Linked DNA regions of Pelodiscus sinensis. The protein of the gene in region 2 purifies or fractionates together with the protein of the main gene of each other region. This does not show direct contact. Links are inferred from orthologs where the notes say so. Each region holds a gene or a part of one and is shown on either strand. Other genes may lie near its edges.

Region 1 (7,257 bases), on a different chromosome or scaffold from region 2:
GGGGTCACGAGCAACTGAGGGGGGGGTCGCGATATCACAAGTTTGAGAACCCCTACATTAACCTATAGGCTTTTGCTTATCAGTTAATTGACTACACTATTACATGCCTATTCCAGACCACAGATGTTGCCAGGCCAGAGAGTCCTGGATCACAGAGGTTCAACCTATATGGAGGCAGTATAAACCAACAAGGGAATAGATTAGAAGTCAGAGCATTTCTATCGACCACATTGTCACGGATGTAATGTGGGTGAGACATCTCACCTCCATGCCTAGGTTTCCCCATCTGTGAAATGGGGAAAACAGTATTTCTCTTCCTTTGTAAAGCATTTAGATATCTATGGATGTGAACTGCTACTCAAGAGTTAAATATCAGTGTTATAAATAGCAGATGAGACCATACAAATGTTGAGTCCCCAAACAATTACCCATTAAGGTTTTTATTGCACCAGTCTAAACATTTTTTACAGTAAAAACAATAATGCATTAATTTATTCAATTGTCCTAGTCACAAGATCCATGAATTCATGTTTTATATATTAGCTAATATATAAATCTTGTATTGCCCTTATCTATTTCACACTCATGTCCTTTACCATCTTCAGACCATGCATGTCTTGTCCTTATTTAGATGCCAGTCTTGGAATTAGAGCCAGAGTTGAAGGTTTCAGCAAAGCTCAACATAGACACAGAAATCCATGGGGCTCATTGAGAGTGTGGGTCTGCCAGCACAGATCAATCTGCATGATCGGGACATTAGACAGCAAGATCTTTAGAACAAGGACTGTTTATGTTTTTATAGCACCTAACACAATGGGAATAAGATCCTGATAGTAGCATCTGGATGCTCCAGGGATACAAATAAATAATTCAATTTCTGAAATAACGTGTAATCTCATGAGCTTTCCTACTGTATAATTAATTTCACATAAAATAGTCCAGATATAATGTCAGTTATTTAAACAGCATGTTTAATATCTAGTTGAGCTTTTTTTTTTTTTTTTTTTTTTTTAAGAGGGCAAATGCATAATCTATGTTGTAAGTCAAACGGACTCACTTTTTTTTAAAACTGAAAAATTAGAAACTATAGCTGAAAGATTAGAGATTAAATACTTTATTCAGTTTGTTTACTTTGTCTGATAGGACTATGTGAATAGTTAGTTTATCTACATTGAGTTTTCTCTATTGGTCAGGATAGATCACAAAGGAGACATATTTTATTTAAAAAAGGGAAAATGTGATTTTAAAGCCACAAAAGTAGCAGGTGTATTACATTAATATATTTGTAATTCAATTTTAATAATACATTTCAGATTAATTATGTCCTTTAAATAAATCTACTTTAACATATTACAGCTCACCAACAAAAATTAATAATGAAAACCATGTCTACAACACTGTCAGTATTGCCAATTTAAGGATAAAAATGATTACATCCAAACAAACCAAAGGTAGATTTTCTTCCAAATAAATAATACAAATATCTTTATGAATGTGCAGACATTTCTAAGTCCACAGATTGGGACCTACCCTATGCTATCATGATGTTTCAAACAAAATGCATTTTTTCATACTACCCAACTGGCTTTTCTTCTCAATATCACTTCATCTAAGCTCTATACACTCAGCTGTGTCACAAACCTAACTCTTCTTTCATCATGAACATAAACAACCACACTATACACTCAACTGCCAGAAAACTAACACCTTGCTAATTGAGACTCGAGCAACATGAACCCACAATGTATCTCCCTTCACTGTGCCTGCATTAACTCACAATACATGAAAGAAACCCCTTTTCCTAGTAGCTATTTTTCCTCTCCATACATATGCTCTATTGAGGGTCTCTTTAAATAGCTATCGATCCAATCTCCTCGTCCTCATTCTTCCTCCCTACAAAACAGCTTCCCAATTCTGAGAATAGACATCAATTTTAGACGGGGCCTGAGCGTCATTGTCTCTTGTTTTCCATCACCCCCATTTCTTTCTCGTCCCCTCCCCCTTTATCACTGCTTGTCACCTGCTCCCTCCCCGGCGGCCTTGTTCTTCCAGGTCAGCTCAACACACACACACACACACACCTTCTTCTCTGCCTATTCATCCTGGGCGTGTGGGGCGGTGAAAACCCGCCAAGCAACCGACTGCACCTTTCCGCTCGCTGTCAAAAAGGAACAACTACGCAACCTCTCTCTCTCCGAGATTCAAACCCACCCGTACCTGCTCGCAGTGTGATAATCAGCAGCTTGGGGACCCCCCGTCTCTTTTCCCGACCCACCGCTACACAAACACCAGCACGGCCACAGCTTCTGCTTGATCACAAAGGCCTGTATCATGCTGCCGTTCAATCACCAGTCCTAGCTAACCCTTCTCCTGCCCCTCCGATCCCTCCACCAGCTTCCTTCCTCTGCCCCTCACTCCTGGGCACCCCCAGATCACTCCCCGTAGCTTTCCCAGATCAACGCACTGGCCCCACCGCCGCCATGTCTCCCCCCTCACCCGGCGTAGAGAAATAAATTGAGGGGGGAGGGCGCACCTGCTACCCCAGCCCCCGCTCCCTCCCCGGCTCTCACCTAGGGCCACCTCGCAGGCTTTGCGCAGCTGGGAGTGATGCGCCTTCTTCACCTCCTTGTCGGCCAGGATCTTCTCCAGGGCCCGGGTCAGGAACATGTTCTTCGTCTTCTTGCCTTCATACATGGGCGCGATCGCGGGGACCGACCGCTCCCGCCGGGGGGAGGCGGCGGGGACCGGGCCACGGGGGCACTCGGGCGGCTGCAGGTCCGGGGCTGCGGCCGCCCGGCCGCTGGGGGCAGGGAGGGGAGAAAGCGGGGCAGGTCGCCGCGCCGAGAGCGAGGCCCCCGGCGACGGGCCCGGCCTGGGCGCTGCAGCCCCGCTCGGCAGGTCGCTCGGACCGCGGCGCTCTCAGCCCCGGACCCGCCCGCCCGGACCAGCCTCCATTAGCGGCGGCGACAGCAACCTGCGCTCGCCATGTTGGAAGGAAACGACGTCAGGGCCGCGGCCGAAGGGCTGCAGAGGAGGAAGCGGCGGCAGCGCGATGCCCCAGCCCGGCAGAAAGGCGGAGGGAGGGCGCGGGCCGAGTCGCGGCGCTACGGAGGCTCAGCAGGGACTCGCCTCCTGGGCGCGCTGCGCGCTACAGGTGCGGGGAGAGGGGAACGGGCTGGGGAGAGCAAGGCGCTGCCACCTGGGCGCTACTTCAGCAAAGGGAGCGGCAGCACTGCCCCCTCCGGGCGCCGAGCCAGCCAGCCTGCCTCAGGCAGCGCCCCCCGTCACTGCGGGAGAGACTCCCTCTGGCAAAGCTGCTTCCCCCCCCCCCCCAAACTTTCACCCCGACTACAGCCATAGTTTCCCTCAGGGAGCCTGCCCAGGTCTCGCACTGCCTGGGGGGATGAACTCTTTTGGACAGACCTGCTTGCCCTGCTGAGTGTTCTCTCATGGCACAGTGCAGTCTTTTGCATTCATGCTGTCCCAGCCTCTCAGCCCTCCACTTTCTAACTCAATTTGTTCATGATTCTAATGAGGACTGAGGAGCACCCCCAGGAGTTTTCTTATTAAATAGTATTGCTGTGTGCTTCTAAATAAAGTGTCTTTTTGCCAAAGACCTCAGAGCATTTACACGGTCTTTCTGAACAGTTTTTTCTTTGCTATTGATGCCAAGAAAACCAACACCTTAGTCATCTAGAGCAAAATGAACATCCCCACAATGTAGCTTCCTTCACCATGACTGCATTAACTCAACAATACATGAAAGAAACCCTCTTTCTCCTTAAAGTTATTTTGCAAGGGCCATCAATGTTAACGCCTCTTTTCTCTTTAGTGTACGGTGAGATACGAAAAAAAAAACCTAAACTAAAAAAAACCTCCTGTGATTAAAAGGCACTTTTTGTGTTTTAATTTTTGTCTATGTTTATCATAGACCTCATTCCCTTAGGTTAGGAATGGTATTTTCTTCATATTCTGTAGAGAATCATGCATAAGTTGAGTTCTCAACAAATGCTATGTAACAATAAATAACAGTAAGCTCAAATTTTGCTCAGAATTAGAACATAGGTATCTAATTGTAGGATTTAACTTGTAAGTAAGGCCAGATCTACATTAGATGAGAATTTTGCTGGCATAGGTATTCCAGCATATAATACCTGCAAAGTACTTCTAGAATGGATGCAGTTTATAGCAGCAAAAGTGCACTTTTGCTGGTATAATTCCCCCCGTACACCCCTCTTCCTTCCCCCCAGACAAATAAAATATATGGGCAAAAGCACACTTTGCTAATATAACTATGCCTGTGCTAGAGGCTTTTGCTGGCACAGCTACATCAATCACAAATCACATCTACAACTATCATAGCTATGTCACCTGCCACTGAAATGTATCTAAATTTGGGATAGACCATAGCAGCTGTTTCAGTAGCCTACAGAAACATTATATTACAGTACAGGGCATGAAACAAATGAAAATATTGTATCTAATTGAAGGCACAAGGGAAATATAGGTAAGTGGAATGTGATTTAATATATTGGAGAGTGAGCAAGATAATTAAAATGGCTAACACCCTTACTGTACCAAAAACACCGTAGGATCTTTAATGATCTCATGCAGTTAAGATTGGGTTTACACCTCATCCAAAAGAATGTACTTATAGCAGCACAGTGCCCTATAAAAGTATTTTGTGGTGTTAGTTAATTATACTTTTTTCTGACTTTGTGTTCACTGAAAAGCCTTTTGCTTACACAGACAATATGGATACTCCATATGCCAGTCACAGGTTCATTCACTGTAGATATCAAAGTGTCTTTGGCTTTTCAAGCCTAACAGTGGTGACCAATTGGCAAAACTAAGAAATCCTGCAGGTGCCTTACTGTTTGTTTTTCAAAAATTGCCTCAACACAAATCTCCTTAGAAAGCCATAAATGGATGACAAAGTGGTATTTAGAAAAGAGAGTTTTCTATTGATTAGCGCAGTCCATTTGGCACAAACAGTCTATTATTTTCTTGAAATTACTATGCTCTGGGACACCTTTTGTGTTGTTCATGTTAATGTGTGGGCAACAACTTTGTTTGGTACAATGACATTTCTGTAACAAAAGCCTTATTTTGCAGCATACATGCATATGGTCTATGTCACAGTCTGCACTATGAAAACTGAGTATGGAGAATATTCCGTTGTTGTTTTCTACATGTGACAATTAAATCAAGTTGGTACCAGAGTCCAGAGCTGGGGTGTCCCCACAAGACCTTCTAGTTACAACTACCTTGGAAATACCGTAAATGTTGGTAATGCACAGTCTTCCATGCATGCAGAGCTCCAGTAGCCATTGCCCATTGTTCATTTTTCCCACTCCATTGTAACCAGTGCTTAGTGGCCATGTCTCATGAGCTGATCTGACTCTTGTTTTCAAGTCTTCCAGTAAACAGAGTTTCTCATCCAGTGGCGTCTTACTGATGATGCTGTTGAATTGCTGATAGAACAAATTCTTCTCTTCAGATCTGGGGGAAAGAGTTGGGTCATGTGTATTGATGATGTTGGCAGTCACCTGTGATATATATTCTTAGTGCTATAATAATTTCAGATAGTCCAATGAGACATTCAATCAATGGTGCTAAAATCCCCAAATCACCCTCAGTACATGGCATTGTTGTTTGCTTTTTCCCATGCAAGAAGACAATGCAATACACCTTGTATAGAGAGCCTGTGTCACCTACTCTGATTTAGAGACAGTGGTTATGCTGATATCATGATTCCCCAGCTCTCTGTCAATAATGGCAGTCCGCTTAGGATCACTGACCTTCTCCAGGTCATTTGATATATCAGTACACATACCAGTACATGTGAAAAGGGTGACCATTGTACCTGAACCTTTGATGCATATACATAGGCATAAAAAATAAGGATGCAGAGACGTACTTTGAACCAAAGCCCCTCTCTTGACAGTACTGACTGTCCATAAGCTTGATGATCAAGATATTTGGAAGTCAACACAGCTATAGGAGATTCTGACATTTTCTCCACAACAGATTTGGTTCAGGGTTTTCTCCCCTAGTCTTTGGTCAACCAAGAACCAGCAGCAAGACAGCAGTGCCAGATGGAATTATTCCTTTGTGGGGGTGGAGGGAGGCTTCATTCCAATGGGTATCACCCAGTTTAGTTGCTGAGTACTCAATCCCTGGCAGGATATACTAGGTTATGTGGTCGCCTTAGCAGGCCTTACGTATCTGAACAGACAGATGTAGTGTGTGTTGCACAGAGTGAAGAAGAGCTCCAGGAATTTTGCAACAAGGCTTTGCATTAACTTGTGATGCATGTGGACTAATCATCAGTCTAAAGATGTTAATTGTTATGGTACAAGATGTATTGACTCCACTTAGGTTTTAATATCTAGCATAATGCTAGACGCTGTGCACAAGCGCTGCCATATGGGATCATCTGTATGAGATAACTTATCTCTAGATGACAAACTTAATTCTGTGGGACAACAGAAAACTAGCATTGAACACAAACATCTAAATTTACCAGACATGAATTTTGAGCATGCTGCTATATGGTGTGGACCACTGACAGCAGGCACAAGAAAAAGCTAAACACCTTTCACGTGTTCTGTTTTTCCTGTATTCTAAATATCACGTGAGAAAATAAAGTTCCTGAAACCGAAGGGCCTGAGAAAACAAAATTCCCAAGTCGAATTCTCAAACTATTCTCAAACATAAATGTCTCCATTTATTTGGTCATCTGTGACTGATGGATGATGGACACATTCCAAAGGTTCTCTTGTACAGAGAACTTGCGACTGGGTCGACGTAGGCTCAGGTTCAAAGCTGTTTGAAAAAGGGACTTGAAACTTTTAACATTTACAATGCACGCTGGGAAGAAGCCACTACCAACAGGTTACACTTGAGCACTACTCATGCAGTTAAAGAGAGGTGGTTGAGAGACTGGAAAGCAGAAAAAAAGAAGAGAAAATTGAAGCAGACCTAACATGCTAGTAAGTACACTGGCTTCATCCTCAGGTCTTCATACCTTATGCCAGTAGTATCACTGCAAGGACTTTTTTGGGTTGAGAATTGAACATTTAAGCCACTTGCAATGCTGCAGCATGATACATAGTAACTGAATTGCTTTGATGTTTACATCACCATCTTACAAGACAAGACAGATGGTTGCCATTAAAACTATGAAGAAAAAAAGGCAACTGTATATAACTGTCACATGTGCATCAGTTATCCATTTTGCATGTGTAAATGTGT
Region 2 (7,279 bases):
TTCCTCCTCACCCCCTTGCCAGTATATTTTTTAGCAGGCTGGCCAGCAGCCCGGCTCAGTCCTGGCTTGCAACATGTCCAGGCCCTACCAACTGAGGTGGCTCTGCATTTAAAGTGTATTTGTACGCAGACAGGCAGCCAAGATCAGTTCCAGCTTGCGCTGGGTCCAAGATCTCAGAGACAGCAGCACAGGGTGATGGGCAGCCGATCCACGAGGGGAGATGATTTTTAAACTGGCTCCCCCCACAGACCAGTTCCTGCCTGGCACCCCACAGAGGCAGCAGCAGCACTCCTTGGGAGTCTAGTCGGATTGCACTAGCTGCTAGCATCACCTCTATGAACTATAGAATAGTTGACTAATAAATAAGAATTCATGAAGTTACTCAACTATTCAATTAACCAATATTTAACATCCCTAAACCAAAGCCAGGGTCTCCTTTAATGAGTTTGGAAACTCAGTATTCTTCTCCATCACCAGGCCACCTTTACACTAAGGAGGAGGAAGGAGGAGTTGGAGGTGGAAACAAATTCCACAACCTGCTGCTTTGCTTCTAGAGTTGAAGCAAGAATCCTAAATAGTGTCTCAGGATCGTAGCTTGCACTTACAGTACAACATTTGGCTTCATCACGTTGTGCTCATCTCCAGGTGCACTCAGTATTACATTGAATATGATACTCAACTTGTACTTTGAACCAAAGACAGCCATGTGGCACAAACTTTGAAATATTCATTTTTTACTGCTTTGTGGACTGAATCCTCAAGTAGGGGTATGACTTTTGGTGGAGGCTATAGCTGCTTCCCTCCTCCCCCTCCACTTGCTCCATTCAACCAGTTAACCAAATGTGATTTTACATCCCTATCCTCAAGTGAACTTGAGCCAGCATTATGTTATGTTCTCCAGTGGATTAATTCATTCTTCGATTTCTGGATTTAGATGAAGCCAAAATGAATATGGCTTGTGTGTAATTTATAGGCTGAGGAAGTGAATATTCATATAATTACAAGACTAAAAATACAGAGAAATATTTAATTGCCTCTAATTCTTTGTATATTGTTTGACTTCCTTAGATTGTAAGCTATACCTGTGAAGAAATTTTAAGATTTTCTATGTTTAGCCCAATGTCATCCCAATCCATATATGGGGATTTGGGTACTTCCACAACAGTTTATAGCCAGAGCTGATAGTTAAGACCTATACGTAAGGTTGCTTAATAACTTCCATTAAGACCCTGCTTGTAGTTCATTTTCCAGTTTGCCCATTTGGACTGAAATTTTATATACATGCCCATGCCTCATGTTGAAGTTTTTTTGAAAGTTGTACCCAACAGTTCAGCTGTTTCCAAGAACGAAATTAAGGCAAAAATTTTGTTTTGCCCATGCTAAAAATTCTTACACCTATTTGATTAAGAAGCTATATTGCCTCTGCACTTAGCAGTACGGATGGCCTTGCTGTTAAGAGGTATGCCTTTTGCAATCCCTACTACAACCCTGCCCAAATTATAGAGATTCAAGAAATTGCTCAGGAGAAGGAGTTATGCTTTGTTGGCTAAATTTTTCCAAATTCAATGTGCTCTAAGCCTGCTCCATCTCTGAGTTGAAGACGGATCAGGACTTTCCTTGCAATTTCTCCTCTTAATTGCTGGGTGCCACAAGCAGTGCTGAGCACAGGAATCAAGAGCAAAGAAACTCTTCTGTGCTCTCAACTCTGCCCTGCTACATCCAGGCAACACAAAACTGATATGACTGAACGCTATACATACATTAGAGGAATAAACAGGACTTCTGCCTCGTTGGGGAATCAAACAGAACTTTGCAGTGAATGAGCTGTTCTGTACAAGAACCCTGCCTCCTTTGATATAGAGTAGCGATGGGCAACCTAGTGAATGGGCCGACTTGAGCATCCCTCCATCTCAGTGGACCACAAGATTGTCATAAGCAGCAAGGTGGTCTCCTGGGATAGGGTAGTGGTAACTAACAGTTTGCTAACTGTACTTGTGTACCAAGAATTCGTGGGGTGCACCAACTGAACAACATCAGCACTTTGCCTGGATGCATAGGGAGAGCAGGGCTCGCTCAGTCAGTGTTGTGTGCAGTCAGCAGGCACCTCACTCCGGGTACCTTTGCTGGAGGTGCATGGTGCTTCAGTAATAGTAGGAGGACTACTCCACAGATGGAAGCCAGGGGAACGCCACACAAGCACGACAAGAGGTCTCGTGGGCCACCCACAGAACCCAGACAGGCGACAGGCTCCCCACCCCTGTTGCAGCGGCCCAACAGCGTGCAGCAAGTCAGGCACAAGACTACAGGAAGAAGAAGGGAGTAAGTCTCAGGGTGCAGGATCTCCCGGAAGAACCGAATCGGATCCCTGCTTCTGCTGGGCGAGTCACTTGAGCCCCAACTCCCCGGGGGGGTTGGACCCGATGACCCCCCCCCCGCGAGTCTAGGGGCCCCCTAAGGGCGTGGCGGCGGGTCAGAGCTGTGGAAGCGGGGCGAGCCCTCGGCTACAGGGGGCGGGGCAGAGAAGGGCCCCGGGGGAGCGGACGGCGGGGGGGGGGGGGGAGCGCGAGGCCCCTGAGAAGGCGGCGCGGGCCCGTTACCTTTGGTGAGCGTGTCCAGCACGCCGGACTTCTCCAGGTAGCGGCGGAACTGCTCCCGCTTGGAGTCCGCGGCCTGCGGAAAGGAGGGGACAGCGTTAGCGGGGAGCAGCCAGCGGGGACACCCCGCCCCCGGCTCCCGCGGAGCCCGAAGAGCAGCCGCTGCCCCGCACCTTAAAGTGCGCCATCCCGGCCGAGACGCCGCCGCCGCTGCGCTAAGCGCGCATGCGCCCCGGGGGTTTTATGGGGGCGGGGAAGGCACGCCGCGTCCCATCTGTTCCTAGGGAGACGGGTGACGCTAGCACGCGGCCCCGCCCCGCCCCCAGCTTCTGTTCCGCGGCCTTGGCCCTCTCCGCCAGCTGTGTCTGCCGCCCGTTTGGCCGCTCGACCCGGCCCCTCCTCTCGCCTTCCCTCAGCCCCGCCCACCGCCTGGCCGCTCAGCCCGGCCCCTCCTCCCGCCTTCCCTCAGCTCCGCCCCCTGCCTGGCCGCTCAGCCCGGCCCCTCCTCCCGCCTTCCCTCAGCTCCGCCCAGCCTCTCAGCCTGGTCCCTCCTCCCGCCTTCCCGCAGCTCCGCCCCCTGCCCGGCTGCTCAGCCCGGCCCCTCCTCTCGCCTTCCCTCAGCTCCGCCCAGCCTCTCAGCCTGGTCCCTCCTCCCGCCTTCCCTCAGCTCCGCCCCCTGCCCGGCCGCTCAGCCCGGCCCCTCCTCCCGCCTTCCCTCAGCTCCGCCCAGCCTCTCAGTCTGGTCCCTCCTCCCGCCTTCCCGCAGCTCCGCCCCCTGCCTGGCCGCTCAGCCCGGCCCCTCCTCCCGCCTTCCCTCAGCTCCGCCCCCTGCCTGGCCGCTCAGCCCGGCCCCTCCTCCCGCCTTCCCTCTGGCCGCGCCCAGCCTCTCAGCCTGGTCCCTCCTCCCGCCTTCCCGCAGCTCCGCCCCCTGCCTGGCCGCTCAGCCCGGCCCCTCCTCCCGCCTTCCCGCAGCTCCGCCCCCTGCCTGGCCGCTCAGCCTGCCCCTCCTCCCGCCTTCCCTCTGGCCGCGCCCAGCCTCTCAGCCTGGTCCCTCCTCCCGCCTTCCCTCAGCTCCGCCCCCTGCCTGGCCGCTCAGCCTGCCCCTCCTCCCGCCTTCCCTCTGGCCCCGCCCAGCCTCTCAGCCCGGTCCCTCTTTCTACCTTCCCGCAGCTCCGCCCCACGCTTGGTCGCTCAGCCCGGCTTCCCTCTGGCCCCGCCCCCCGCCTGGCCCCTCTTTCTTTCCTCCCTCCCTCCCGGTGCCTCTCCCGCCTTCCCTCTGACCCCGCCCCCCGGCTGGTCCCTCAGCCCAGTCTAAATAATTGTTGGGGGGAGCCACAGCTGTGTGTCTCATTGATAAGGGGGGGGCGAACTCTATGAGCTTTCTCTGGCGACCTCTAGACTGGTATGATTTTCTGCAAATGCTTTTAACGGAAAAGTTTTCTGTTAAAAGTATTTTCGGAACAGAGCGTCTAGATTGGCAGGACGCTTTTCCGCAAAAGCACTTTTTGCGGACAAGCGTCCGTGGCCAATCTAGACGCGGTTTTGCGCAAGAAAGCCCCGATCGCCATTTTCGCCATTGGGGCTTTTTTGCGCAAAACAATACCACGTTGTCTACACTGTAGCAGCATAGCATTTCCGCAAGAAGCACTGATTTCAGACAGTAGGAAGTCAGTGTTCTTGTGGAAATTCAAGCGGCCAGTGTAGACAGCTAAATTTAAGCATGAATGACAATTCTGAAGCTTCTCTTTGAAGTCTGGAGTTAAAGTCTCTTTGAAGCAATATGCATGTTTTAAGGTCATTGAGGGAATGGTCAGTCTGGCTGAAATGGCAAGCAACAGCTTTCTCTTTGTGAGAAAGTCTTATGTCTGTTTTGTGTGCATTGATTCTTTGGCGAAGTGTCTGAGAAGTTTGTCCAATGAACATAGCAGATGGACACTTTAGGCACATGATGGCATAAATTATATTTCTGGATGAACAGGAATATGTATTCTTGATCTTGATCTTGTAATAGGCATGGTTAGAAGTAAGACAGATTGATTTGGGATGTGGATCCATGCGGGGCTGTGCTGGGTGCTGACGAGTCTGTGTTGTTCTCCAAGGGGGGCTGTTACCCAACTCTGTGCCTTTGCTGCTGGGGAGGAGGGGGAGGAACGGAGCTTCTGTCCCAGTAGGACAGGGTGGTGGGGCGCCCCAGAGGGCAGGTGGATGGGTTCAGTGGTACAATCAGCCCATCCTGTGAGTTTAGAGAGAATCTCTGATCCAAACCATAACAATCATCCCTATTGTACCATTTGGGAAATGAGGCACAGACAAATTAAGTGCCTTGAACAGGTCACACAGGAAATTGGTAGCTGAACAGGGGATTGGGTTCTCTCAATACCCTGACAACTGGCCCATTCTTCCGCTGTCCATGTCTGTGAGTGGGGTCTGCTGAACACAGTATTATCACCCCCAAAGGTAGCAGGTATCCCCTCATTTGCATAGGACTTAATGCTGCTTGCAGAGTGGTTATGTATAGGCACTGGGAACATGTGCTGTCAGAGAGTCGGTATGTTCAAAATAGCAGCAAAGTGGCTCTAACACTCTCCAGAACTTGGGGTCCTCATCCTGCCTCCATACCTCAGTCACCATAAGCCCCCAAGCTCCTTCCTTTTGAGAGGAAAGTTTGCAGAAAATTCTGTATAGTCAAATGCCTTTCTCTTCCTCAACTCCAAGCCCCAATGCCCCTTCTGCAGCTATTTTTATAGAAAGTTATGTTTTGGTTATAAATATTTAGTTAAAAATATAAATAACCAAAACATAAACTTTTCAAAGTTGAGAAGCACCCATCCATTAACTGCTTTTGGGAGCCTGCCTTAGCCCCACTGCACCACAGAACAGGAGCTGTGGGAGGTAAGCACTGGAGCCTTCACCCTGAACCTGCTGCTCTCTAACTCTCCCACAGCTCAAACTCCTATCCCAGCTCCAAGCCTGCTCATGAAGTCCACAACCCAACCCCCTACCCCCAGTCCTGAGCCCATTCCCATACCCAATCTCCCTCCTAGTGCCTGTACCCCACACTCCCTCTTGCACCCTCAATCCCTGCCCATCCCAGTTAAAGTGAGTGAGGGTGCAGGAGTGCCACCAACAGAGGCTGGGAATGGGACCTCAGAGAAGCGGAGGGGTAGGGCAAGGGCATTTGGTTTGTGCAGTTAGAAAGTTGGCAATCCTCGCATCTGAACTAGATAACTGTTCTCCATTCCTTCCAAACATACGTTTCTATAATCTTAAAGGCCTGATCAAAAGCCCATTGAGGGCAATGGAAAAGCTTTCATTGATTTCAATATGCTTTGGATCAGGTCTCACATATGGTTTCACATAGGGTGAAAAAAAAAAGTTCAACTTAATTATTTTGTATTACAAGACTTAAATGGAATGCTTTCCTCCTCTATAAAAGAAATTATTCCCTCATCCTCTATAAAAGAAATCATTCCCTCACAAACACAAAAGTAGATGAATTTTGACACCTGGCATGTAAATAATGTTCACTTTGATATCATAACCAGGTTTGCAGAATAATATGACTGAAATATTTCCACCACTATGGGGAATAAGTTTCAGCTGAGAGCATCATGCAAGGGGACCAAAGAATTATGCACACTCAAATACCTTTCAAAAAATAGTGCCTTACCTTCCATGTTTCCATTTGTAAAATGGGATAATTATACTTATCTCCTTGGTAAAGTGCTTCATGGCATACTGATGAAAAGCACTATATGACTACATCTACACTGCACCATAGTTAGAAAAAAGATGTTCAATTTGAGCTACGCAAATTGCGTCTCTTATTTCAATCTTATTTTGAAATAGCTTATTTCGTAATTTAGCACTGTCTGCATAGCACCAAATTTCAAAATAATCCGCTATTCCGAAATGTCCATTACTCCTCGTGGAATGAGTTTTACAGGGACTTCAGAATAGCGAGCCCAAAATAATGGGCTTGCTGTGAAGATGCGGGATAGTTATTTCGGAATACTCCAGTATCCTGAAATAGCGTTGCAATGTAGATGCAGCCTATAAGATCTAGGAATCATTAGCAGGGATGTAAAAATAACAAACCCATTGTTTGTATAGTTGTGTCTTACAAAAGATTCTGTTGCCTTCTGCCATATTGTGCAAATTCTTAAGTTTTAATTTTAGCTAAATTTCATGTTTGTTTTTCCTTTTCAAAGATACTGTGTGCAGTCATTACTATGTGAGTCATACATTCTCCCGAAAGAAGCAGCAGGCTGTAAACTCTTTGACAGACTTCTGCACAATTCAGTGAATTGAGATGAGAGCTTCAAACCCCAATTGGGACTATTTAAAAAGTAACATTATGGCTACTAATGTATTATTTATACAGCGCAAAAAGGAGTGCACTAAGCATAGTTATTTTTTTCTTTAAAAACACATTATTGCAAATTTAAGTATACCCAATTAAAATTTTAAATCAGAAAATGAAAAAGTTAAGATTACTACATGACTGTTAACTCAAACATATTGCCCTTTTTGTCTTTAATAAGGTAGTCATTTAGCAATATCAACACAATAATATACAAATATGTATTTACCTCAGATGCTAAAGTGATAGGTACCAAAGAAAAAAAACTAAGATTTAACAAGGTAGTCAAGAATGGTTAAAACTTCAGCATGTACAACATGAT
Region 3 (7,616 bases), on a different chromosome or scaffold from region 2:
AATTTTAGTTAGTGGAAGAGAAATGTGATCAATGTAACAATACCACTCAAAGTGAGGAGACCTAGGTCAGAATCTGAAGCATTAGTCCTACCACAGCAGTTTATTTGTACTTAAGACACTTTTCTTTTTTCAAAATAGGTTGGGGGGGGGGGGGGGAGACATGACATGAATATCATTATCTTACTCAAAAGCTTCAGCAAACTCATTCACAATCTAAAGCAGGGAAAGGCTTTAAAGTTGTTTCCTGGATGGTTTTTATACAAGGTGACTATTCCCAGTTTGTGCTAATTTTGCACTAAAAAATCCTTTTCTGAGACTGGGAAGTTCAAAACTTCAACCTAAAGTCCCTAGATGGAACACGAGGAGTGTGCACACATGCCAGTATGTCAGACTCTAACCTCCCTGAGATGTGGTGCTTTCCCCTTGACACAGACAACGTTTTTTTAATCCTCACTCCCTTGTTTTTCATCCTTATTAACACTCACTAATGAGATCCATCCTCCGCCCCACCCCCCAGCTATCGCCAGCGTTTACGTGCAAGTACTGCTGGTTACTTCAATTAAATAAACTACTTACCTGCTCAGCTACAGCCCTGAAAAGACAGGATCCATCCTTGGCAACCCGCTTTCTATATAAACCCTGAGATCGCAGGTAGCTGTCCATAGAAGCGTCCCCAGGCGCTTCCACGCTGCTACGAGGATGACTCTGCTCCCCGCCATCTGATTTGCAGGCAGCCTCCATATTTACTGCTTAATACCGTAAAGAATCACTGCTCCTCTCCTAGCCCCACATGGCTACGACAACAGCTCTTGGGAATGAAATGTACTTCCTTCTTCAGCAATCGGGGCAGCAGCAGGAACACCAGCTGGCCTTACGTTGTCAAATTTCACGTGAGACTCATGGACGGATTTTTACTGCATAATTTGGATTATTAGCTCTTTAAAAGAGTCGATTTCTGGCCTCTCAAGAGGGCCCGACAGCTGTTCTCGGAAAATAATCCGAGGGGTCCGGCTCCGACCCCTTCTTCAGGACGATGAGTATTGATGGCTTCTCTTGTACACACCCAAGCTGTAAAGCGGAAAACAGAAGAGAAAGGACATGTGCTGCTACTACTGCCAAGAAATGGTAACCTAAAGTTTGTTTTCACTTTCAACTCGATGCCAGAGATATTACTGGGAGATGTAGTTCTAGAGAAACAGGAAGCGGTGGGGGCTCCTATAGGAAGAGGATAGAAGGGACGTGCTCTGTACGAACCATGAGCACACAGTCCTGACATACCGTGCTGTCTCCACGTTATCCGAGGCAAAACGCTTACGACAGTGAGTGAACTAAAGTTTCAAAACGAACTACTTACACTGCCGCCGCCTTTCTAAATACTTAACAGGTTAGGACTCCAGTATCAGGTCTAGCAAATTGCCAATTTATGGTGCAGTTCAGGTTTCGATTCTTTTTGTTGCTCCTCCTACATTAGTGCTGCTTTATAGCTCAAAATAAGAGGGAACGCCTACATTTTGTAGCACACGGGCTTTTTGCCTTAACTAGTTCATGTCTTGGCTTTTATAGCAAAAGCGCTGCTGGGACTTCCATGGACACGATTATTATTGAGCCAATGAGAAATGCAATCATTAGTTCTGGCGTTGTCGCCATACAAGCAGGCTACAGTTCCTCCGCTAAACTGAATGGCTTACTTTTCATGGGGCATTTCACAAGTTGTTTTTAAACCGCCTTCAGATCAGAAGCAAGACAACTGAAAAGGTCACTTTCCGGTTCTACAGCTTGTTCAAGGTGGTACAGTTATCCAGTAAGCAGTGTAGAACTAGTTAACCTGTAATGCCCATGATTACAGCCAGTCCACGTATGGTGCTCTCAAAAAGCAGTGGAAAAAACAGTTCGTCCTTTACCATAAGGCACGTTGCATTTTTGCTTTTATTGCTAGCTCAAACTTTAAACTGCTTGGAGACCTAGCAAATACAACCCCTCCTCACCCCATAACGTTTCTTGGCAGCGTCTCACTTTTCATTTAGCATTCTTCCAGGAACTGGTGTCCTTTTTATCTTTCCGCTGAAGTGTTTTTAGCCAGACATTTCAGTGTTGCTTTAAGGAAAGGCAAATCCCAGACAACCACAGTGAAGTGATTGGGAGACCAGTAACTACTGTGAGAAGAGTTATGGGGGAGGAGAGCCGACAGACAGGAGGAGGGGGGGGAGTCACAAGCGAGGCGAGACGTACATCAGTTGTGCTAGGTAGATACACTGAGCGGGACACTCACACCAGTTTCCCTTGCAAGCAAAGTTCACTTATTTCCTTTTTTAGTCCATCAGAAACTAGGCACCAAGGCCAATACGCGCGGTAAGCAGCCCCGCCGCCCCGCAGCTGGAACACAGCGCGAACTTAACGCTGGATCGCCCAAGTAAAGCGCACACACAGGAGGGCGGGGAACACAGCGCCTGCTGAAACGCCGTGAACTCCCCCCCCCCCCAAAAAAAAGACACAAACACACACACGCTCCAGATTTATTGTCAGACCGGGCAAAAGCCACCCGCTTCAGCCTCCGCTCCCCCCCAAACGCAGCTCCGTGCTGGGCCTCTGGCCGCCCGCAACGATTTCCAGGGGCTGAGGCCGGGCGCGCCCTTAGCGCGGCGGCGAGGGCCGGGCAAGGCAGCGATGTTGGGCCTGGGCCCGGGGGGGTAGCGTGTGTGTCACTGCGGGGCTCTGGCCGCGCTCACCCAGCACGACCCGCCTGCGAGCGGGGGGCGGCCCAGCTGCGGGGAGCCGGCGGGCGAGGCGCTGACTCCAGCGCCCTCCCCCTGAATTGCCCCTGCGCAGTGACTGGCACTTACCGAGAGAGGGGCGGGCGCAGCAGGCTCGGACTCTCCCTTCCTCCTCCTCACCTCGCGAGGGCCCCTGGCCAGCGGCGGCGCAGGCACTTCAATCTCCCGCGTCGCCTTCCTATGATGCTGCCGCCACCCCCGTCGCTTGCTGTTGGTTTGTTCCACCGGCCACACCCGTGCGAGGAGCCGTGGCTTGCACCATGCGCGAGGAGAGGGGAGATATTTTTTGTGCTCTACGGGCGCGGTGGCAAATCGAGTTGTTCCCATACACGCGTCAGGAAAGGGGTGTCTCACATGCACCCCCCACGGAAGCAGCTAAATGGTACAGTCCGGAGCGTGCAGCTGGTCTCAGGGGTCTGTCTGAGGCGCTCCAGTGCGGTAGCTGCCCTGGCTTTCAGGGCAGGATTAGTCGCTGGCGTGGGGCTATCGTCCTGCTGCTGTTTACATGGGCACGTTTCACTGGCTAAACTGACAGAATTAGACCAATATAAGCCTCATGCACTAAAGCTTGTTTGTTTAAATTCCTTACGAAACAACACAGACTAGACTAGGCTAGAAACTAGCTCTTCCACCAGAAACCGGGAGTCCGCCTGGGGTTTTATTCTGTTGTCTTTGTATGTAGGCTTGGGAGAGTTTGATTGTTATTTTTTATAATTTTGGCAATTTAAGCACTTTTAAAAGAAAATTAGCATCCCTTCTCCCGGTGGTCCCACAGTAATTAATGATAGTAGATGCTGAGATTCAAAGACTAAAAACTGTAAAATATTGAAGCACAAACTGTCAAAATCACATGGCAAAATATACTAAGTAAATCAAGTTCTCGAGCAACAGTTCTTTTCCTTTGCCTACTTGTACATTTTCATACTTAGAGAAATATATTTTGTTGATGTGCCCAGAGTGGAAGTCATGTTTATACCAACACAAATCTAATTCTTCCAAGCCTGCCTATGTTTTAATTCACTTATGGTATGACTTTCCTTTGTAACAAGCCATTAGTGAAAAGTAGCAAGAAAACAGTTAAGTCTAGAGGAAGAGTGTGAATCTCTCCGGAGGGATGGAACAACATTATTTATTATTATTTGTTACTTACAGTAGTACCTAAACACTTCAGCTGAGATCAGAGCTACTTTGTTTAGGCACAATACAAATATACAGAAAGAGTTTCTGCTGAAGATAAAGAATTGTGGGAAGGGATATAACCTACAATCAGAATGTAATGATCTACAAGTGTCATTAGATGCCACATTTTTGTTTGTGTTTTGTTTTAGTGGCAAAGCAACTGCAGATGAAATTCAGTGTAGTTTTGCAATTAAAGTATATTAGAACCATTTGAACCGTTTATAAAGAACATAAGAATGGGCATACTGGGTCAGACCAAAGGTCCATCTAGCCCAGTATCCTGCCTGCCAACAGTGGCGAATGCCAGATGCCTCAGAGGGAGTGAAGAGAACAGACAATCAAGTGATTCATTTCCAGCCTCTGACAAACAGAGATAGGGACACCATTTCTACCCATTCTGGCTAATAGCCAGGGCTCGACAATCGATGAAGAGCCAGGTTTGGGCGATCTGCGCATGCACAGAATGCCGGACAGCGCAGCTGGCGAGCCCTGCTAATAGCCATTGATGGACCTAACATCCTTGAATTTATTCAGTTCTTTTTTGAACCCTGTTAAAGTCCTGGTCTTCACCACGTCCTCTGGCAAGGAGTTCCACAGGTTTACTATGCACTGAGTGAAGAAAAATTTCCTTTTGTTTGTTTTAAACCTGCTGCCTACTAATTTCATTTGGTGATTCCTAGTTCTTGTATTGTGGGAATAAGTAAATATTTTTTCCTTATTCACTTTTTCCATACCACTCATGATTTTATAGACCTCTATTATATGGGCACGTTTCACTGGCTAAACTGACAGAATTAGACCAATATAAGCCTCATGCACTAAAGCTTGTTTGTTTAAATGCCTCAGCATTTCAAAGTGGCACCTGACCCCAAGCTCTGTGTGGCATATCAAATTGGCAGTTCAACATGGAACCCAAGGTCAGCGGGGGACTCTTGATTACCCCACTGGCCCCAGGCTCCATGTGGGAACTTCCGCTTTAAAATGCACAAGAGCCCCCACTGGGGACTCTTGTACATTTCAAAACTGGCATGCCCGCGTGCAGCCCGGAGACAGCAGGACTTCTTGATGGCCCCGGGCTGTACAGTGGATTCCACATTCCTCCTTTGAGCTGTACAAGAGCCTTAGCAGGGTTTTTGTACATTTCAACGGAGGAATGTGGCACTGCCTATCGACTAGTAAATTAACCGATATTTAACATCCTTAGTCCAAACTGAGTATAGATCTGAACTTTTGTGCCTGTTCCACATCTAAAATTTGGCAGTTCTGCCGCTTGGTCATCTCACTTCCTCTGATTTTTCCTTAGCTGATCTTTTATTAGCTAATAAAAAAGGAAAGAACATATACTGTATTCCTGAAATAAAATCAGTAACTATTTACCACTAGTCATAAGCCATTATTTCTCAGAGAAGAAGAGCAAATAACTTCAATATGCACGTCTGTGGCTATTTAATCCTTCAAAATCCCCAATACATTAAAACTCAGACACCAACATTCAATTATTTTGGTTTTAACTGGGGCATATGAAACAGCGGCTCAGGCCACAACACTTCCCGCGGCTAACCTTTGTCTGCAAACTGGAGCCAATGGGAGCTGCAAGATTCCGTGGCTGCGGCACCAGTAAATAAACAAACTGGGGCATTCCATTGGCAGCTTTCTCAGAGTGGATTCACGGACCACTTTGAGAATCACGGGTTTATACAAATACAATCAGAAAAGACATTATTAACATGTAGCAGAAGGGGGTATGATTATGAAGGCAATGAGGAAAGCAGTTGCCACCGTCCAAGTGAGATGAAATGAATGAACTAATGACTAGGTTGTTGTGGATACATACTGGTGATATAGACTATGTTGTAAAGTTGGGTATAAGAATATCTGTAAGAAAGGGGAGTTCTTAATGGTAATGCTTAAGTTATGTCAGGTTGGAGAGAGGTTACTAGTGGAGATCCTGAAGAATCAATTGTGGGACCAGTCTTATTTAACATTTTTATTATTGACCATGGCACAAAAAGTGGGAATGTGCTAATGAAATTGAAGATGACACAAAGGTTTCTTAGGAGATATTGCCAATACAGAGTCCAAAGAAGGGAAGTTTATGGGGTACTGCAAAAGGGAAACCACCATGAGAATCTGATGAGCCACCTCTAGAGTTTGGAATGTTTCATTGTGTCCTGGCTACACTGAAACCAAGGAAAATGACAGGAGAGAAGGGAGGCTGTCTTCAGCAAAATACAGTACCTTAATTATGAGGAGAAAAAAAAATTCTGTTCAGAAAGAAAAATCCAGCTCAAATCAGTTGGCATTATTATTATATGTACGATCACAAGATAGAAGGTTATTTTTCAATATTGTGCTAAGAAACAGAAGCTGAAAAATCTGGTAGTAGTTAGTGTTGAGGTCAAAGGAAGAGTGTTTCTTCCTCAACCTACCAGTTTGTGGACAGGGACCTACTTTACAGAGTGGGGAAATTACCGAAGGACAATTGTGGTAATATAGAGAACAAAGAGAAAAAAGTTGCTTTATTCCATGACTGCATAGTCTCAGGAAGGCAGATTATTAAAGGAGACTTTCTGCTTAGGCACAAACATCGATTCAAATATATGTAATCATTTGTGTCTAATGCCACTGTAGAATATTTGTTTGAATTGTAATATAATTGAACAAGATTCAAATAAATATAAAAAAGCGTTTATACTTCTGTCCTTTTAGTGAGACATAAGGCAAATGATTTAGGCACTTCTAAAGTGCCTTTCTTTTGAGGCTTTCAAAGCATTCTGCAAACTATATATAACTAAGGATTAGACTATTTTTAGGAGGCAGCTAGGAATTGTTATCCTTATTTTACAGACGGGGAAACTGAGGGAAATATATTCATTTTGTCCATACTCATGCAGGAAGTCTATGACAGGACTGCACATAAGTACCCATATCTGTGTTCTAAGTATTTCCTCTAAATTTAGAGCACATACACGTTTTTCTATGACAGCTATACAGACCATAAGCATTATTTCCTTTTAATTATTTAAATGGGCAGCAGAAAGTGCTGATGCAGACGTGGTTGAATTAAGTATGAATGCAGTAAAATTCACTAATACCTTTAAAATGAGGGTGGAGAAATTTCAGGTTGCTGATAAAGCTCTAGGGTAACCATGTGTCAGAATGAGATAATATTGGCTAATAAGAAATGTACTTTTCATCCCTTTGACACCCAGACTCAAGTCTTCTGGCATTTATCCTGTTCTCCATCACAGAACTAGTACAAATCTCTAGTTCCAGGTAGGCAGGTTGCAGATGTATATTCTTCCCTAGGCTCACATGGTTCAGATAGTCTTTAAATGCACTGTATTTTTGAAGTTCAACACATGATCCTTTAGATGGCATTAGAGCCTTGTACATGTTACAAAAAGAGCACTTACCATATTAAAGTGTGAGATGAGGGTAAAAGAGCATAGCAGTAACTTTAGACAATTTGCTGGGAGGAATGCAGCCAATACTTGTTGATAGGAAACCATAAGTATAAAGGTCTAGATCATAGGTTCCCAAACTAGGGGGGCACTTAATGGCTCTTACTCTGTACAGTTTTCTGTTCCCTGGAACACAGAACCTGTTTTAATGATATGCTACTGTTCATGCCTTAAATGTTGGGGAATAGGATTCAAAGTATGA
Region 4 (7,203 bases), on a different chromosome or scaffold from region 2:
CCCAGAGGTGATAGTACTCTGGTGAGCCCCCAGTGCACTGCTCCAGTAAGAAAGAGCTGGAGAGCTGGAACACTTGGCTTCAGGAGGAGGCATGACCCGCTCTCAGGGCTTCCTGCCAAGCTGCAGGCAGGCAAGTTAAAGGGTCTGGCTGGAGGTGCATTCCCCCACTTGTCTGGGACTGCCCCAACCCCCAGAACCGCCCCTACTCCCCCCTAGGTCCCATTTAGGAAGGGCAAGGGGGCTGAAGCTCCACACCCTCCTGAGATTCATGCAGAGATTCACGCTGCCACGGAGCTTCCAAGAGGCAGCGCTGCCTGGAGTCCAGGATCAGCTGGAGACTCCAGCTGATCTCGGGCTCCATTCAGCACTGCCCCGTTGAAATACCACTATGGTGTTTCAAAGGGGAGGTGCATGCAATTAATCGTGACGAAATATTTTAATTGCTTGACAGCCCTAGTTTCCACTGGAAGCACCTTTAATGTACCCAAATAATTATCTTATAGTGTAGTGCATTGGGTTGGAGACAAAGGTGATGCAGTGAAGGCTGCTTCTCTATCTCAGCATGCTTAGTCTTAGTCATTTTGATAGCTATCCTTCTGGACTTTTTCCTGAAAACTTGATGCTGATCTAATGTTTTAGAGCAGGTGGGGTTTTCTGTGCATATGATCTACAACTTGGTTGCTCCAAAACTGTAATGTCAGCCCTTGCTTGCTAATAAAAAACAGTTTTCTTTAATCCATTTCCTTTCTCCTGCTTTCAGTCCAGGGACTAAGGTCTTTTAAAATGAGAATTTAATTTTCTTTGTGTGAGAAATCACTTCTCTTCTTCATTACCTTAACCTGTGACCGAACATTTGTTTGTTATCTGTGGCTTCAGCTGGCCTTCTTGGTAGAATTGTATAACATCTCTCAATAGAGGGGAGTTGCACCGGTTTTCTGTGTACAGACCTTTGATTAAAATAAAAACAAAACTTCACATTATTTTAATATCTTTCCTCCAAAGATCTCAAAGCGTTTTGAGCATTATTAATGAATGCAGCTTCAAAATCCTCTTCCCTTTTACTTAAATATTATTATCCCAGAGGACAAGCAACAGCTGGACAGCCAAGAAGATAATGTAATTCAGGAATGTTTTGGGGGGAAATATCTGATAAGGAGCAGTGAATGGTGGGACTGGGATAATGCTTTTTTTGGAATGTTGGATGGGGTTCTTGATTATGAGATTAATTCAATATATGTGCAACTTTTGTTTTACTCAATGGAGTTTTGGTAACCTGTGGAGGGCGGGGGGAGAAGGGGCAGGGATTCAGAAAAAAAAGATTCAGACTGGAACTCAATGATCTCTTGAATTTTCTTTCAGCCCTACTTTTCTAGGATTCTAAACTCAAAACTGAAATGAATTTTTTCAGTTGAAGAGAAACTCATATTTTTAATCAATTTTTTTTTCATTTTGATTCAGACAGATAAAAACAAATTGCTGACAAATGAACTTTTTTATTTTTAATATAAAATACCTATTTCCAACCAAACTAATCACATTGCAATATAATATAGCAATGAATGTGCTTCATATTTGATGTGATGACACTTCAATACAATGTTCTCAAATGTTCATCAGCTCACAGAGCTAATCAATGATACTCTGCTACCCACATACCTTCTGATCTGATTTGTGAGATTCAGCCCTGTCAGAAGGAGGAGTATTCTGTGAGGGCACTAGCAATGGGCAACCTAGTATCCTAGGTAACTACAGATAGTAGGTTTAAAACAAACCAAAAGGAAGTTTCTTCTTCACACAACACATAGTCAACCTGTGGAACTTCTTGCCAGAAGATGTTGTAAAATGCAAGACTAGAACAGGATTAGATAAATTCATGGAGGATAGGTCCATCAATTGCTATTAGCCAGGATGTGCATGAATGGTGCACTACCCTCTGTTGTCAGAAGCTGGGAATAGATGACAGGAGAGAGCACTTCTGTTCATTTTCTCTGGGGCACTAGGCATTAGTCACTGCTAGAAAACAGGATGCTGGGTTACCTGAACCTTTGCTTTGACGAAGTATGACCATTCTTATATTCTTATGGATCTCCTTCATCTCTGTGCACCACAAGATTGTCATAACCAAGATGGTTTCCCAGCCTAGGGTAGTTTTGCTGACTGTGCTTGTGTAACCCACACATCTACTCGTGGTGGTGTAGTGGTCCCAGTGTTTCTCAATCTTTTTTTTATAAAGTACCCCTTTTAAAAAAATTATAAGTACCCCCAGTATGTACAGTTTTCAGACACGCTATTTTTTTTCTACCATTGCAACACATTTGTTTAAACAACTTAATTGTAGCCAGGCTGGCGATGAAATTTTTGGGTGTAAAAAGTACAAAAATAATAAAGCGCTGTAAAACTTAAAACAAAAATTCTGTTTTCTCCAAGTTTCAGTTGTTGATGTTTCCCCCAGACTTCTCTCAAGTACCCCTAAGAATATTTGTACCAATCTTTGAGAAACACTGGCATAATGCAACTCAACATTCAGATTTGAATGTTTCAAATGCTCCAAATTTCAGTTGTATTGACGTACCCCCCAGCCTTATCTGGAGTACCCCTACAGGTACTCATAGAACTGATTGAGAAACGCTGTAGTATCCCATCTAGTGGCACTGAGACCACTTATAGAGAAAATAATGAGATTGCTCTACAGCCTTAGTTGAGTACTAGCAGGCTTTGAGCTCATGTGGTAAAGGCTTATGAACTTAGCTGTAGCGATCCCAGGTTTGATTCTGCCTGTGAGCATTATGCTTTCATACCTAGAATTTGCAGAGTCTGCCAACTGAGCCATAGCTTTGCTTTGATGGGATGCAGAGAGGATGCACTTTACAACATCTTACAGTCAATGTTGTATGCCATCAGCACACACCTCGCTTTATGTGTGTGTCTCTACTACCAGCAGTAGGAAAAAAACAATGCGGATGGAAACCAGCAGAATATGGCAGCCCTACACGTGGGCAACAGTAAACAAAATGTCTTGTAGGACACATATAGAACCCCAATCAGCTACATGTGGCCTGTGAGCTGCAGGTTGCTCACCACTATCCCAAGAAATAGTGATGTTGGCTTGTCATATGTCACCAAGCAAACTTGATGTTGAGGCATGGCCTGCAGAATCACTTCCTGTCACAGTGACATGAACCTCTTCATAGAGACAATGCCACACTGGTGCCTCCTGACTATGGCTATGTCTACACTGGCGCGATCTTGCACCAAAAATATGCAAATGAGGCTAAGCATGGAATATCAGTGAGCCTCATTTGCATATCTAATGAGCCACCATTTTTGCAGAAGAGGCTCTTGCACAAGAAGGAGCGTCTACACTGCCCCTTCTTGCGCAAGAAAAACCCTCTTGCACAATGCCATTATTCCTGAAAATAATTAGTGTAACGGCATTGCGCAAGAGGGTTTTTCTTGCGCAAGAAGGGGCAGTGTAGACGCTACTTCTTGTGCAAGAGCCTCTTCCACAAAATGGCAGCTCATTAGATATGCAAATGAGGCATGGCGATATTCCACTCAGCCTCATTTGCATATTTCTGGCACAAGATCACGCCAGTGTAGACATAGCCTAAGTGTATGTCTACACCACAAGAACGGGTGCCACCGTAACACAGGTTAGGCATTCCCATACGAGAGGGCAAGGATAAGTATAGTAGTGTGAAAAAAGCAAGTTCTGTGGCACCTTAGAGATTAGCAGATTTATTTGGGCATAAGCTTTCGTGAATAAAAACCACTTTGTCGCATGAGTGAGGTGAAAATCACAGAGGTTGGGAGCTACATGTGTATAAATAAACTAGCACACACTATAGTAGTGTACACGACAGCTAGCAACGCAAGCACAAGCCCTCTGAGCACCTTGCACGTGCACGCCATTCTAGCCCACGCTTAAGCCCAGGCAGCCGTATGCGGCTAGCATCCTTGCTAGCTAGTGGCCAGCGACTGCGGCCTGGCAAGTGCAGCTGTAATAGGGGCTGAAGCACTGAGGGGGCAGGGGGCCTTCTTCCTCCCTCCTCTGTAGGCCCCTAGTTGTGATCTCATCATCAACCCAGCCCCCGCCTCCACACACCGTGGCCACGCCCCTCTGCCAGGCCACACCCACTCTCCCAACCCCGCCCCCCGCTGCTGTCACTATTGGCAGCTTTGTGGGTCAGAGGTCACGCCGGAAGGCGCGGGGGGAGGGGGAGGAGGGAAGAGTTGGAGGAGTCACGTGACGGCCCCAATATGGCGGCGCCGTGTCCCTGTCTCTATTGCCGCTGCTGAGGGAGTCGCGCCTCTTCCATATCATGGGGCCCCGACGCGGGCGGAGCCTCTGAGCCCCGTTCTCCCTTCCCCCCGCCGGGGCCTTCGGCCATGCAGCCCCCGGCCCGGGAACAGGACACCCGCACCAAGAGCATGTTCGTCTCCCGGGCCCTGGAGAAGATCCTAGCGGAGAAGGAGGCGAAGCGGCCCCCGTACGGCCAGCTGCGGAGAGCCTGTCAGGTGGCGCTGGGTGAGTCCCCCCTCCCTTTCGTGGGTAGCCTCCGCGCCGCAGGGACTAGCTGCGAGGAGCTCGATAGGTAGCGGGGGATGAGTCCAGATCGGCTCAGGCCCCCTGTATTCTCTGGGGGGGCCAGTCCCCTCCCGTGTTGCGGGGACCCAGACAGCTGGCGCCAAGTGAGTCCGGATCAGGGCCACCCAAAAGGTGCCCATTCCCTTTGTGTTTCCCTGCAGGGAGAGCCAGGCAGGTGTGGCTGGGCGAACCCTGCCGGGACTGGGAGTTCACCACTTCCCCCAGCTCGCCCGGCTGCAGGGAGTCATGCAATCAGCGTGCAGCCCGTCTCTGCCAATGGGCAGCAGCATTATCAGCGACTGCGACTGTCATTAGTTTTACTGTTCTGCAGGTTAATCTGCCACGTTGGAGCCTCTTTGGTCTGTGAGCAAACAGCCTGCCTGACACTAGATCTTCCTGGCTCACAGGCACTCTGTTATTTCCTGGACACACACATTTTTTTGAGCGAGGAGGAAAAAGAGGCCTTATTTTAAACTCAGGAAAAAAAGAACATGGTCAATTCTGTTGTTAATGTAAAGGCTGTGGATTATTTTTAAACTAGCTAAGGGGCAATACAACTGGAAACCAGGAGGGACTGTTAAAGAACTATCAACTTTAAGAGCAGCTCAAGCTGATGATTCTTTAGCATCTTTTTTTCTTCAAAGAAAATTTTAGCTAAAAACAACTAGCTTTTCAAGTATGTACATTGTGTCTTAAATACTGGTTTTTACTGAAACACACTAACATGGCACTCTGAAATTTTCATTGACAGTGCAAAAGTAACTTGCAACTATAACTGCTTCTTTTAATATATCAGCTAAAGTAATGGATTTTTGGGAAAGTTACAGTGCATAGGATAATGAAAACTAGTGTTTGAGCAGAAGGAGTGGTATTAGATGAACCAGTCCAGTTCTTATGTTCAAAGGTTTCAGTAGCTTTCCCACCCCTGTTTAGGTTCCTCACCCCTGCTTTAAATAATGCAAACAACACAAAAATCATGTGTCGGTGCTCCAGCCTCACCCCGTCCTCTGTCAGTAGAGCTGGAGCACAGTTTACTAGCCTGTAGGTTTTGGGGGGGAGGGGGGGGTTTGAGGGGCTTCTCACGTCTGTGTGGGCTCCGACTGATTTTTTTTTTCTGTAGGTCAGCGGTCCCTGACACTAAAAAAGGTTCCCCACTGGGATAACATCAGCTTGAATTTTTTAAAATCAAATTTCAGGTCCTATACTTACCTTGGAGTACTTGTAAAGCCACAAAAACTGTAAAACAAAGTGTTGCTCTTTGTTCTGGCTTGGTTTTAAGTGCATTTTCCTTAGCACCATATGAAATACATAAAGTGGGAAAGAGGACTTATTCAGAGAAAATAATTAAGCAAACTAGACATAAAATGCTGTTAGGTAGCCTGTGTAAAAAGAAGTACTCCACCCCAGCTCTGCCTTACAGAAATATTGTGGTGTTAATTGATATGACATGACGTTAGCTTGGGAGATGGGATGAGGAATCAGGACTTTTTTTTAAGTTTACAGTTTCTGTTTTGTGAGGATAGTATTATGCATATTGCCTTAGAAATGCCAGACCCAGAAACCCCTGTGAGGATTTGGGCTTTATTGTGCTGGGTGCTGTACAAATTAGGAATGTGTTCGTATACGCAATTAAACAGTTAACTGATGAGTCTGGACTCGTTGGTTAACCTTAATGGTTCCATGCATGGCCTTCCTGCTGCCTCTGTGTCAGGCAGTAGCGTGGGGGGGGGGGGAAGGACCAAGCAGGAGCTGCTTTTAAGCCAGCTCCCCCACACATTGGCTCCTGGGTAGCTGCGTGCCCCCTCCATACTGCTGCTTTTGATATAGTCAAAGACAATAGAGCTATTAATAAAATTTCTGTGGGCTATTCAAACCATAAAAAGAGTGATATAAATGAATTTTGAAATAATTTCTTGTGGTGTTGCACATAGACTGTCTTTGGGGAAAACTGGAGGTGGTGGCTAGCATAAAGCTGACTTTTCATGTTTTTGGTTGTGTTTCTAAATCTGAGTCAGAGACAAAGTTGGGCATGGGCAGACAATAATATCTTGCCCAGCGATCCCTACTCCTCTAGAACCTTGATTGCTGCAATTAAGTTTGGAGAGCATTGCCAAATAACTCATTAAGCAGCCATCTTGATTACATTTTCTTCTATTTATGCATCCAGGTATTAATATTTCACTTCCTCAATGTTACTTCATATAAGCCAAACTCTTTTGGAGTTATTTGTATTATCTGTAATTAATGAATCTTACATGATATATTTGTTAAATTATTTTATATATCATATGAAATATTCCCACACTCCCCAGTGTAATACAACTGTTGTAGTTTGGAGAATTGAAGTAAGACTGCTAAGGGAGAATAAGGCTGGAGAATTATTTTTTTTCATTAATGTCACCTGTTTTCTTAGGTCACTCAAATCTTAAATACCCCTCTAATCATGTTGTCTCTTTGATATTGACCAACACATGTAGTGCTTTTTAAAATTAATGATTTGCCAGCAGAGTCCACCTACTGAAAGAAAATCACAGTGACATAAAGTAAACTTTGTGTTGTTAACTAGCATCCTGCAGTTGTCAACTGTCTCTTTTCAAAATTTCTTATTTGAAATT

What was found.
Region 1: the proteins of MYCBP (region 2) and ARFGEF1 purify together in Homo sapiens (co-immunoprecipitation; 4 studies listed by BioGRID and IntAct, with this or other methods). This does not show direct contact. The link is inferred for Pelodiscus sinensis from reciprocal best matches to the Homo sapiens genes MYCBP and ARFGEF1.
Region 3: the proteins of MYCBP (region 2) and OTUD4 purify together in Homo sapiens (co-immunoprecipitation; 3 studies listed by BioGRID and IntAct, with this or other methods). This does not show direct contact. The link is inferred for Pelodiscus sinensis from reciprocal best matches to the Homo sapiens genes MYCBP and OTUD4.
Region 4: the proteins of MYCBP (region 2) and ARFGEF2 purify together in Homo sapiens (co-immunoprecipitation; 4 studies listed by BioGRID and IntAct, with this or other methods). This does not show direct contact. The link is inferred for Pelodiscus sinensis from reciprocal best matches to the Homo sapiens genes MYCBP and ARFGEF2.

What each region holds. Positions count from the first base shown.
Region 1 is NC_134712.1:57,511,382-57,518,638, reverse strand, and holds the start of ARFGEF1 (brefeldin A-inhibited guanine nucleotide-exchange protein 1), read right to left. Parts: upstream 3,019-7,257; 5' UTR 2,695-3,018; coding exon 2,571-2,694; intron 1-2,570. UniProt on the Homo sapiens protein: Promotes guanine-nucleotide exchange on ARF1 and ARF3. Promotes the activation of ARF1/ARF3 through replacement of GDP with GTP. Involved in vesicular trafficking.
Region 2 is NC_134735.1:11,659,775-11,667,053, forward strand, and holds the start of MYCBP (C-Myc-binding protein), read right to left. Parts: upstream 3,004-7,279; 5' UTR 2,783-3,003; coding exon 2,768-2,782; intron 2,671-2,767; coding exon 2,598-2,670; intron 1-2,597. UniProt on the Homo sapiens protein: May control the transcriptional activity of MYC. Stimulates the activation of E box-dependent transcription by MYC.
Region 3 is NC_134715.1:41,054,055-41,061,670, reverse strand, and holds the start of OTUD4 (OTU domain-containing protein 4), read right to left. Parts: upstream 3,018-7,616; 5' UTR 2,841-3,017; intron 2,822-2,840; exon of another isoform or gene 1,355-2,821; intron 1,069-1,354; 5' UTR 742-1,068; coding exon 577-741; intron 1-576.
Region 4 is NC_134728.1:20,680,875-20,688,077, reverse strand, and holds the start of ARFGEF2 (brefeldin A-inhibited guanine nucleotide-exchange protein 2), read left to right. Parts: upstream 1-4,198; 5' UTR 4,199-4,389; coding exon 4,390-4,528; intron 4,529-7,203. UniProt on the Homo sapiens protein: Promotes guanine-nucleotide exchange on ARF1 and ARF3 and to a lower extent on ARF5 and ARF6. Promotes the activation of ARF1/ARF5/ARF6 through replacement of GDP with GTP. Involved in the regulation of Golgi vesicular transport.